Danio rerio: one gene and its partners. The protein of the gene in region 1 interacts with the protein of each later gene in a biochemical or structural test. Links are inferred from orthologs where the notes say so. Each region holds a gene or a part of one and is shown on either strand. Other genes may lie near its edges. The genes, in order: csnk2b, tnfaip1 and chek1.

Region 1 (4,267 bases):
CCACAATCAATCTCTGGGTAACATCCACACACACACACACTCATACACTACTGACAATTTAGCTTACCCAATTCACCCGTAATGCATGTCTTTGGACTGTGGGGGAAACTGGAGCACCCAGAAGAAACTCACGCAAACGCAGGGAGAACATGCAAACTCCACACAGAAACGCCAACTGACCCAGCCGAGGCTCGAACCAGCGACCTTCTTGCTGTGAGGCGACAGTGCTACCTTCTGCGTCGCTGTGACAATAACAGTGTGGCTCAAAAAGGAATATGGATAAATTATATTATTAGCGTCTGTTTAGTGTGTGTTGTGTGTGTGTAGTATTGCTTTTTGTTTAGTTTGTTCATTTGTGTGTAGTATTAATTTATTAATTAATCTTCAATAATTTTAGACATGGTTTATACTGTATGCTGTACGATAAAGGTATGTAAAATTAACTGAAAAGTATGTTATATGAGGAGTGTTTTTAAACTAAATATCTAAATAATAATAATAAATATATTTTTATTTGGTTTGCACATGTACTTGCTGAAATATTTCAAGGAATAAATTGCAATATTTCAAGAGTAATTAGTTAAATGAATTAAAACCACATTAATATATTTACCAAAAACAAAAGAATAACTTTTTGCTGAATTCATTATTTTTTGTGTGGCACCCCAAGATTTGGTGCAGCCTCTTCTGGCCATCCCTAAGAAAATTTTCTAGGGACACCACTGCCCGGCTGGGTCAGTTGACATTTCTGTGTGGAGTTTGCATGTTCTCCCCGTTTTCGAGTGGGTTTTCTCCGGGTGCTCCGGTTTTCCCACAAGTCAAAAAAAAAAAAAGGATGAAGAATGTGAGTTGAATTAAGCTAAAATTGGCCTTTAATGTACAAGTGTAAATGAGTGTGCATGGATGTTTCCCAGAGTTGGGTAGCAGTTGGAAGGGCATCTGCTGCGTAAAACATATGCTGGATAAGTTGGCGGTTCATTTCGCTGTGGCAAGCCTTGATTAATAAAGGGACTAAAGTTAAGCCAAAAAGACAAATGAATGAATGAATAAAAGTGACATGCCCGCCAGCTACGGATCACGTGTCAGTTACTTTCATTGAAATATCAGTTTTTCTGACCTAAGTAATTGATCGCATCAATAGAATATTACACGAAAACGAATGCAAGGAAACCAAAAAGTGAATATAGAAAAGGAACGACTCTACAACTCAGAAACTACAACTCCTACAAGATCAGCGACGTGAGCGGAAGTGAGGTGACTTGTGATCACGTGATGCACAGCGGAAGCCTCCAATCAGCGTACAGTTGTGTCGCTGCGGCTAACATCGACCCCGGGAGATCCTTGAGGTAACGTCAGTAAACGCTTTTATCGCTATTATGAGCAGGGATGTGAAGTAATTTCGACGTTATGTTAATTAGCATCTATTTATTTTAATTCGCAGTTTATTTCACACATCACGACGCTCCCCGTTTTACATAATTGTGGATCAGTCGGCGAATTTGATGCGGCCTAGTTTGAAGCAGCGGCAAGCTAACCACACCTAGCATTAGCTGAGCACACAAACCAGAAAATCAACACTTATTAAAACTCTTGCCTGGCTGTTAAACATCACAATGTTTTTTCGGCCTTAGATGGAACTATTGTGCATATGTATTTTACTGTATTCGTCATGAGGCTTAAAATGTGACCAGCAGGCTATGCTAGCGTGCGTCAGACCAGTCCAGTCAATTGTTTACGTGAAAACTGTTTAGACTCGATGCAGTTTGTTATAAACATGTACTCATCTTAAACGTATTAGCAACGCAATATAATTTGCTACCCGAGACTTATTAACAGGGCAGTATTAACCTATTTTCAGTAAAATTGTCGTATGTTACTATTAAAGTGACCCTTTCTTGTATTATTAATAGTGACTGCTACTTTTTACAGTGACTAATTGTTAATCTGCTTTTTTTTAGTTTCCCAACATGAGTAGCTCAGAGGAAGTGTCGTGGATTTCTTGGTTTTGTGGTCTACGGGGAAATGAATTCTTCTGTGAGGTTTGTATTGTCATCTTTGTAAGTTATTCTGTTATGTTGTATAATAAGCAGGTGTGTAATAATACACAGTTAAAAAAAATCGGTGTGTGCCTTTTGTTTGAAGACATATACAGGCATATAATGAAGATAGAATTGCAGTTTTGTGGTTTATTGAACATGTTTGATGACCTTTTTTACTGAAAGAACTTGCACATTAATAAAATGTTAAATGGTTCCATTATCCAGCAAAGCCTAGATTATTACATCCAGTTGCTGTATAGTTTGTACAATGTATTCTGCTACGTTTAATAGGCATGGTGCGATAACTGTTTTCAAGTTATACCATGGCTTGGAAAAGTCAAGGTTTTAAAACTTTCAATATTTTCTGCTGTACCGATCCTACGGTATATGTAAGTGGGTTTTTTTTAAGGTTTTTAGGATGGAAGTATCTCCAGCAGAAAAGATATCCAAAGATGCAGTTTTAAATTGTAAAGAAATCAGTGTTTTTGAAACTAAAGGAGTCGACAGAAGTCAATGATTCTTTTGAATTATTCAGCTTGACATGTTTACTGCTCCAAAATACTTAAATGTTACTCAAATTAAAATATATTGTGTTCTACAGGGAAAACAGTTTTAATTTTTTTTTACTCAGACATTTAAAAAGGATATATTTTAGAGCACCATGAATACCATGAAACCGTTGTGTTTTTATCCAAGGTAATCATATCGTCAGAATCTTATACTGGCCCATGCCTAACTTCTAATGCGTTAATAAAAAGAAAAGCTCCTAATTGTGTCAATGTTTAGGCAAAAAAACTATTCTTTCGAGTTTATATCTTAGAAATACACACTAAATTAAGGTAGATGACACATTTACATGCAGTTTTACTGATTAAGCGATTACATATGATGTGAGATGTTATTGAGGTAAAGTTAGTTTTATATTCGCACACTTGTACTTTCATCTTTTCAATATTGATTGGGTATAAACTGCAGTTGAAATCACCGTTCAGGGCTCGAAATTGCGACTGTTTTGGTCGCATATGCGGGCAAAATTTTATCCATGCGACCTCCAAATATATTTAGGAGCATTTGTGTGACTGCATAATATTGGTGCCGTGCGACCGGTTTTCACTGCAAAATGTTCACCACACATGCAGATTTAGGAGTCATTCGCGCAGAATGCATCTTAGCACCTGAGACGCCAAATGCAGCGCTCATGAATAGTTTAAAACAGTTGTTAAGTCAACTTGCTGCCATAAAGCGCACAATGCTTGCCCCACCCTCAAGCTCTTCTGATTGGCCCACTGCTCTAGAACTGAATGCGAACAAATTGGTTAATATCAGCTGTCAATCACTTGGTCGATGGCTTTCTTTAGATGACAGGGAGAGCTACAATCGCGAACATGTAGAGCACTGAAGATGAAAAAAAGAAAACACTGACAGATTTAGTTTTAGAAAACACCTAAAGTTACAAATAAAGACACGTCTGATTAGTGGTCATGTGGTTAATGTCAATCCAGCGTTTACTCTTTTCCAAGAGTGGATAAAAGACTTCCAGTGTTAAAAGTTCGCTATGAAAATGACTAAATCGTTAGGATGCTGTCAGCTGTGCAGGTGGCGCTATATGTAAAATGTAACACCACGAACACCATCGCAAAGTGGCTTGCATTTATCGACATACAACTTATATTGCAGCTAATATAATTGCAGTAAATCGCTTAATATAACATTAAAACTTGTAGTAACAGTGCTTATAATTGGTGGGTGCGACTAAATTTTTGCTTTTTAAAGTCGGGAGCACCAGTGCTACCATGCAAAATGTTTAATTTCGAGCCCTGCCAGTAGACATGAGCATCACCTTTGTGCTGATTCTGAAACGATGTTGTAGGAATGAATTTTCAGTGCTTCCCATGCATAGGCTTTACTTGGGCAGGCTGCCCAGGTATATCAAGCGTCCGCTCAAGTATATTTAGTGACACTTTTTTTTTTTTTAACTATTATTATTATTATCATCATCATCATCTTCCTTTTACACTTTTTTTGTATCCGCCCAATATCAACAAACATCCGCAAGCGATTAAGTAGTGGAAAATCTCTCCTTGACCCATTTTGTACTGTTCGTTCTGTGTGCGCGAGAACTGTCAACACTCCCACAAACTTTAAGCCATTGAAAAGAAAGTTTAAAACAGATCCTTAATAAATCAAAATATTGTGAAAATCTAATTATGTTTTGTTTGTCGCATATG
Region 2 (3,662 bases), on another chromosome or scaffold:
ACAGCTCTAAACAAAAATATAAATGATAAATGATCTTAAATAAAACAAATACATGTATAGAGATGGTATAAATGTATATAATTTTACTCACATAGGAAACAGAGACCACGTGAATGGTTTGTGAGCACAATTAAGTGCACAAGGCATCCCATATTATCTGATAATTGTAAGAAATAATTCCAAAAGGAAACTGTGTAAAGCCACATAAAACAACACAAAAATATGATGTTTATGCCGAGTTCAGTGGCTAATCTGCCGGAGTCAGCTGAGGTGAAATGACGGTGAACAGCGAGACCTAGCTGTCACTCAAGTGGCCACGCCCTTAATTATGCAAACTTAATATAGCCTAATATAAAGGAAACGGATTAGTTATAAAAAAATTCAGCCCCCTCACAGTTGTCATGAAGGGCAATATGAGCTATATGAACCAAAATCGTTTCTTGTATGAGGATGTAAACACCTTTTTTTTCTGCTGTGAAGCTGGCCATTGTAACAGTGGGCTCAAATGAAATTTGCTCTATTATGGAGCCAGGACTAGCAGAATTTCGATGAATTGCATTTTCAGTTACTTTTGTATTGGCTTCCCAAGGGAGAGCGTGAGGTTGCCGCTTGGTAAAAAAACAGAATGCTCTTCAACGGTTCCCATTGTAATACAAATTTACAGTCTTCACTCATGTTCATATATTCTAACTTAGGGGTGTCCAAACTCTTTTTTGGAGGGCCGGTGTCCTGCAAAGTTTAGTTCCAACCCCAATCATTCACACATGGACTAGCTAATCAAGCTCTTACTAGGCTTTCCTAGAAATATCTTGCAGGTGTGTTGAGGCAAGCCAGAGCTAAAATCTGCAGGACACTGGCCCTCTAGGACAGAATTTTGACATCTCTGCTCTAACTCATCCATTATAGCTTTATCAATTAATCATAATAATAAATTAATTAAGCCTGCAGTAATTAATAAAAAAAAAGACATTTGACTACAAATGAGATTTTGAAAAAAGAGCCGTTTCATTCTCCTCAAACAGCAGTTCTCCAGCAGTGCTATTGAACAGTGTTTGTTTCAATAGATAAAGTTTTGTGAAAGATTTATTTCTTGTATAAAGTCATTAAAGGCATAGTTCACCCAAAAATGAAGATGTACTCAGTATTTTCTTACCCTCAAGTGATTCCAAACCTTTATGGTTTTTTTTTTATTCTGTTGAACAAAAAAGATTTTTGAAAAGCTGAAAACTGTCAACATTGACTTCTATAGGAAAAACAAATACTATGCAAGTCAATGGTGACAAGTTTCCAACATTTTTCAAAATATCTTCCTTTTTGTTTAACAGAACAAAACTCAAAAGTGTGTAAAACAAAAATGTGCATGTTAAAACTGTTAAATAGTACAAATACAGTACAAGTAATACATGATGACATAGTAAAGCCTATACAAAGCATACACCTGCTCATCAGAAGAGTGGTCAAAACTAGTCAACCAATATGGGTTTTTTTGAAGGTCGATATTAATATTTGTGGAAAGCAGGATAGCAGATATTCAGCTGATATAATTGTACACATTTTAATTAATAACATCTGAATTCAATTGCAATAAAATTTATTTTAAAATATAAGAAAAAAAATTTTAATTAATAAGATCTTATAGCCAATTCTGATTTTGCAAGATTTGGGAAATGAAATGTTGATTAGTTATTCAAATACTTGTTTAAATAATATAAATATATATCAGCTGAATGGCGATGACGTATAAGAATGCATTGTTTTGCCTTTATTACTAATTAAAGCAGCAATACACATGTATACATTATAATTACTTTGTTTAAAAGTTCTTTGTTATCTGATTATTAGACTAAGACAGAACCGAATGACGACAGCAAACAAAAAGGGAGAACATGAACAGTGTGCTCAGGTGCTGCGGATCTCAGCACTTCAAAATAAAAAGTGCTGTGGATGATATGCAAATGTCACCTATGAAATGTATAGCTGAAATATGCATATACAGTTAATGCAAAATGTGGGGTCACAGTTAAGGGGCTAGAGCAGGGGAGGCCAACCCTGTTCCTGGAGAGCCACATTCCTGCAGATTTCAGTTGCAACAAATATCAAACACACCTGCCTGTAATTATCACATGGTGTTCAGGTCGTAATTAATTGGTTCAGGTGTGTTTGATTTGGGTAGCAACTGAAATCTGCAGGAAGGTGGCTCTCCAGGAACAGTGTTGGCCACCCTTGGGTTAGAGTCCCTCGTCTGATCGACAAAAACGCATCCTAATACCAGGTGTAAACAAGGCCAAAGAGTATCTTACCTTTGTTTGCTTCTTCTCAGTAGCATAAACGATGGATGTGCAGCAGACCTCAGCAAGTTTGCGGTGCTGTCCGTAAAAAGACCAGCAGCAAATTTCATCTCCAATTACATCTTTAATGAAGAGCACACGACCGCTGTAGCTCAGAGACAGCTTCTCAAACAGCTCGATATTCTTGAGCAGGTTGTCATCAGAGTTGCTTTTGAGGAAGATTAAGATCCATCAAAAAAAAAAAGGAATCGAGTCTGTCAAAAAGTGACATTAAAGCATAATCATAGTTACCTTGTATAGGAATATTTGTTATTTCCTCGATTGTATAGAAGCTTTACAACAGGCTGTAAGTAGAAAATAATGATGACATTTAGAAATGTAGCTTATCTTGTTTTTTTTTAAAGATTAAATATTTGCATTTTTGCAAAAGAGTCTCACCCTCACACATGCTTGTATCAGTCTCTCCTCCTCTTTAGGAGATGTTATGACCGGGATTACACACAGAGCCTTTTCCTTATTGTCCTGCAAACCAACAAAAATAAAAATACATAAGCAAGCAACCGACAAAGGTTCAATTTTTTCAATAATATGAATTGACAAACTTGTCAGATAATAACAACATGCAACTAGTTTTATAACCAAAACTGACATTTATAGACAAACCCATTGTGGGCTTCAGGATTTTTAAACAATTGTTTTCATTAACAACTTTGTTAAAACAATCATGTTTAATAAAGGAATTCATGGAATAAAACGACACTACTCATGATGATATTCAAAACTATTCCACCAATTAATAAGAAAAGTGTGCAAAAAGTCCTTCATTCTATCAATTGGCATTTTCCATGCTTCATGGGATTCTTTTCTTTGTGAAAGCCACAGAGTATTTTTCTGATTTTCAAATATTCCTTTGATTCACGTCCAAACAGCTGGATGGTTTGATTTATGGTTTAGAGACCCTTCAGCTTTTTTTCTAACAGTCCCCATTTAACGATTAAAATTATCCCCAACTTGGTTTTTAGCAATGCACTCTTAATGCTCCGGTTGCCATAGAAACACACAGTACAAAAAGACTGGCTGGTCCAGTCTCCATTATATTTTTTTTAACACACCAGTTAAGAATAAGCAACTTGTATAGGACATTTCATGGCAGATTCTGCATTATAATATAATTATTTTATTCAAGCATTTAAAATTTCTCTATCAACGGTTAGACTCTGATTTTTTAAATATTTTAACTTTAATGCCTGGAGGTGCAGCACATTTCTGTGCAGAGCAAACAGACAATGACTTTTAAGCAATGAACTAAATTATTTCTTTCTGCTAAATGCATATGATTTATTTCACATATTAAACATTTTGGAAGCAACATCA
Region 3 (2,433 bases), on another chromosome or scaffold:
CAACAGCAACACCTACGAACCTTCCCCCAGGCAAAGAGCCAGTCAACGTAACTATAACTGTCATGGCCTCCAGCTAAATACGAGGCTAATAATATTCACGTTTCTATCATAAATGTACTACAGGAGAATACACTCTGAGGATCAAGAACACATTTTCATCATCAATAGAAGAAAACTATAAAAGAAAGAAAAATCATTTTGTGTTTTACATTTTGTGAATATAATTTTATACTAAGATCAGTTTAAGTGTTTACTAACAAGTGTCTACCATTTAAGTAACAGCGTCTGATTAACTACAAGCACATTTTGTCAATTTACAGCTGGATTGCTGCTATATTTTTTGCTACACTGTTTAAGAAGGTAGTCAGCAATCCTACATACAAGCAAAAGGGATTTTATTTGCATCAAAATCAAATGTGTTAAGGCAAACCGATTGTTTAAGCTAGTGATAATTTGGTATTTTTAAAGCATTGTAAGCAAAAGGCACTATTTTCTGAACTCAGTGTTTTAATAAAACAAAAGCTGAACAGGACTGGAAGTTAATGTGATGTTTCATACAGATCATACTTTTTATAATTTAAAACCGAAGCCAAACAGAGTTATTAAAAGTGGATTTATTTTCCATTTTTTGTGATGTTCTGAACCCTACAATCTATTTAGGAGGTAGAAAACTAAAACCCTCTTTGTCACAGTAACGAAACATGAACAGACAAACTATACCTGACAATTTCTCTTCATTCCTTCACTCGTGGATCAACAAAACAGACATATACAACTTCAGACAAACAGATCACAACACATACCACAAACATATAACAATTTAGTGTGTGTGTGTGTGTGTGTGCTCATGTGAAGGCAGGCTTTGCATGGTAAAATGTGTATATGCATCAAATCAATGGCAAAACCTTTTGGTTGCTAATAATGTCAGACAGCTTCTGTTTGAGTTTCAGGAATATTCGCTTGAATTCCAAACCGTCACCCTAGAATACAAAAAAACAGAGCTTTAATCAAATCAGTTACATTATTTATAATTTTAAAATGCTATGGTTATTGTTTGCATTTCAATAATCTGATTATTTTAGTTGTGTTGATTAACAAGTCAGTAGCTATGTGTCCATCAAAAGATGCTAAGTAAATTGATGCACAAAACTAAAATCGTCACTTCCTGATTAACTGCCGCCAAATATCAAAAGTAAAAACAGAACTTGCAGCGGTTGGAGAAGCTGTTTTAATAAATTTGTTTATTTAATAAATTACTTGTGTCTCAGAAGACAAATAATGATATGCAATGAATGTGTGGTGGCATTTAAAGGCATGAGATGCGGAGCACACATGCTCTGGACAATTCTGGAGGTCATTGATAATATAATAACACTAATACTAAAATGGTTACAGCATTTTAGATGTTTTACAGTGCTCAGCCTGCTGGTTTGTTCATTCACATTCACCACATGATCTCTTAAAACAAAAACACATGACCTTTTTAATACGCATACTGGAATTTGTTTGGTAAAAGTGTTATATCAAAGTTTATGCGCATCTTTTCTTATTGGAAAAAAAAGTTTATCCTACTCAGTTATGCGCATGTTTTTTATGCATATTTTCAAATTTGTGCGCATCATGGCGTTTCCATCAACCGTTTTATGCGCATATCCAAAATGCGCATAAAAATAGGTGGATTTAAATGTAGCTAGTGACAGCATAAAAGTAATTAATAATTTATAGCTCACCTTTGACAGCCGGAAATCAACTAAAATACGTTCCTCCATTTCCAGGAAGTGCACTATGAATATCAGCTTATTATTGCGACGATCCATTGTAGACACTGTCGCCTATTAATAAAGGGGATGTAAACAAGATCAGTTCATTATATGGTTTGAGATCTGTCTTTGATTATTTAAAATGCTAAATATGTTACATATTATCTGGTTACCTGATTATTACAGCTCTGTTTCCATGTGTGACCCAAAGCAATACAAGAATCACGGAGAGCAATGCAAGATGCCTCTGTATTTTCTGTAGTAAAGAACCTGGTCATTCTCCTCACCAAACGCTGCCAGGGGCTCTGAAAAAAATAACCATAATAAATCATTAATCACATTGAGCCAAATTAGATGTGACATTCCATTACCATGGAATAAAACCATTTTAACCAAGGCAAAACCAAAACTAAATATGAACATTCAGCCTATTTTAATTGTCATTATTTGTTCTGTTCTGAATACTGTGAAATTTAAAAGATTCATTGTGGAGCCTATTTTCCTGAATAAAACTACAAATCGCAACAAATCTAAATATTAACTATGCAATTTAGAGCAGATGTAACTTTTTTTCTGAAAAATACTGTATAATTATTATTAACTGTATTGAAATTGTTACCTGGCTTGCACCCGGTGTGCCAAGCAGTTGTGTGCCCAGCAGCATGTGGTCAGG

The links.
Region 2: the proteins of csnk2b (region 1) and tnfaip1 form a complex in vitro, tested with the Homo sapiens proteins (2 studies listed by BioGRID, with this or other methods). The link is inferred for Danio rerio from reciprocal best matches to the Homo sapiens genes CSNK2B and TNFAIP1.
Region 3: of the proteins of csnk2b (region 1) and chek1, one has a biochemical effect on the other in vitro, tested with the Homo sapiens proteins (2 studies listed by BioGRID, with this or other methods). The link is inferred for Danio rerio from reciprocal best matches to the Homo sapiens genes CSNK2B and CHEK1.

What each region holds. Positions count from the first base shown.
Region 1 is NC_133194.1:29,149,628-29,153,894, reverse strand, and holds the start of csnk2b (casein kinase II subunit beta), read left to right. Parts: upstream 1-1,315; 5' UTR 1,316-1,351; intron 1,352-1,958; 5' UTR 1,959-1,967; coding exon 1,968-2,039; intron 2,040-4,267. UniProt on the Homo sapiens protein: Regulatory subunit of casein kinase II/CK2.
Region 2 is NC_133190.1:23,033,531-23,037,192, reverse strand, and holds part of tnfaip1 (BTB/POZ domain-containing adapter for CUL3-mediated RhoA degradation protein 2), read right to left. Parts: intron 2,811-3,662; coding exon 2,727-2,810; intron 2,633-2,726; coding exon 2,580-2,632; intron 2,497-2,579; coding exon 2,301-2,496; intron 1-2,300. UniProt on the Homo sapiens protein: Substrate-specific adapter of a BCR (BTB-CUL3-RBX1) E3 ubiquitin-protein ligase complex involved in regulation of cytoskeleton structure.
Region 3 is NC_133196.1:24,023,953-24,026,385, reverse strand, and holds the end of chek1 (serine/threonine-protein kinase Chk1), read right to left. Parts: coding exon 2,380-2,433; intron 2,066-2,379; coding exon 1,934-2,065; intron 1,833-1,933; coding exon 1,731-1,832; intron 981-1,730; coding exon 888-980; 3' UTR 600-887; downstream 1-599. Other genes in the region: vsig10l2 (V-set and immunoglobulin domain-containing protein 10-like 2), read left to right, coding at 1-77. UniProt on the Homo sapiens protein: Serine/threonine-protein kinase which is required for checkpoint-mediated cell cycle arrest and activation of DNA repair in response to the presence of DNA damage or unreplicated DNA.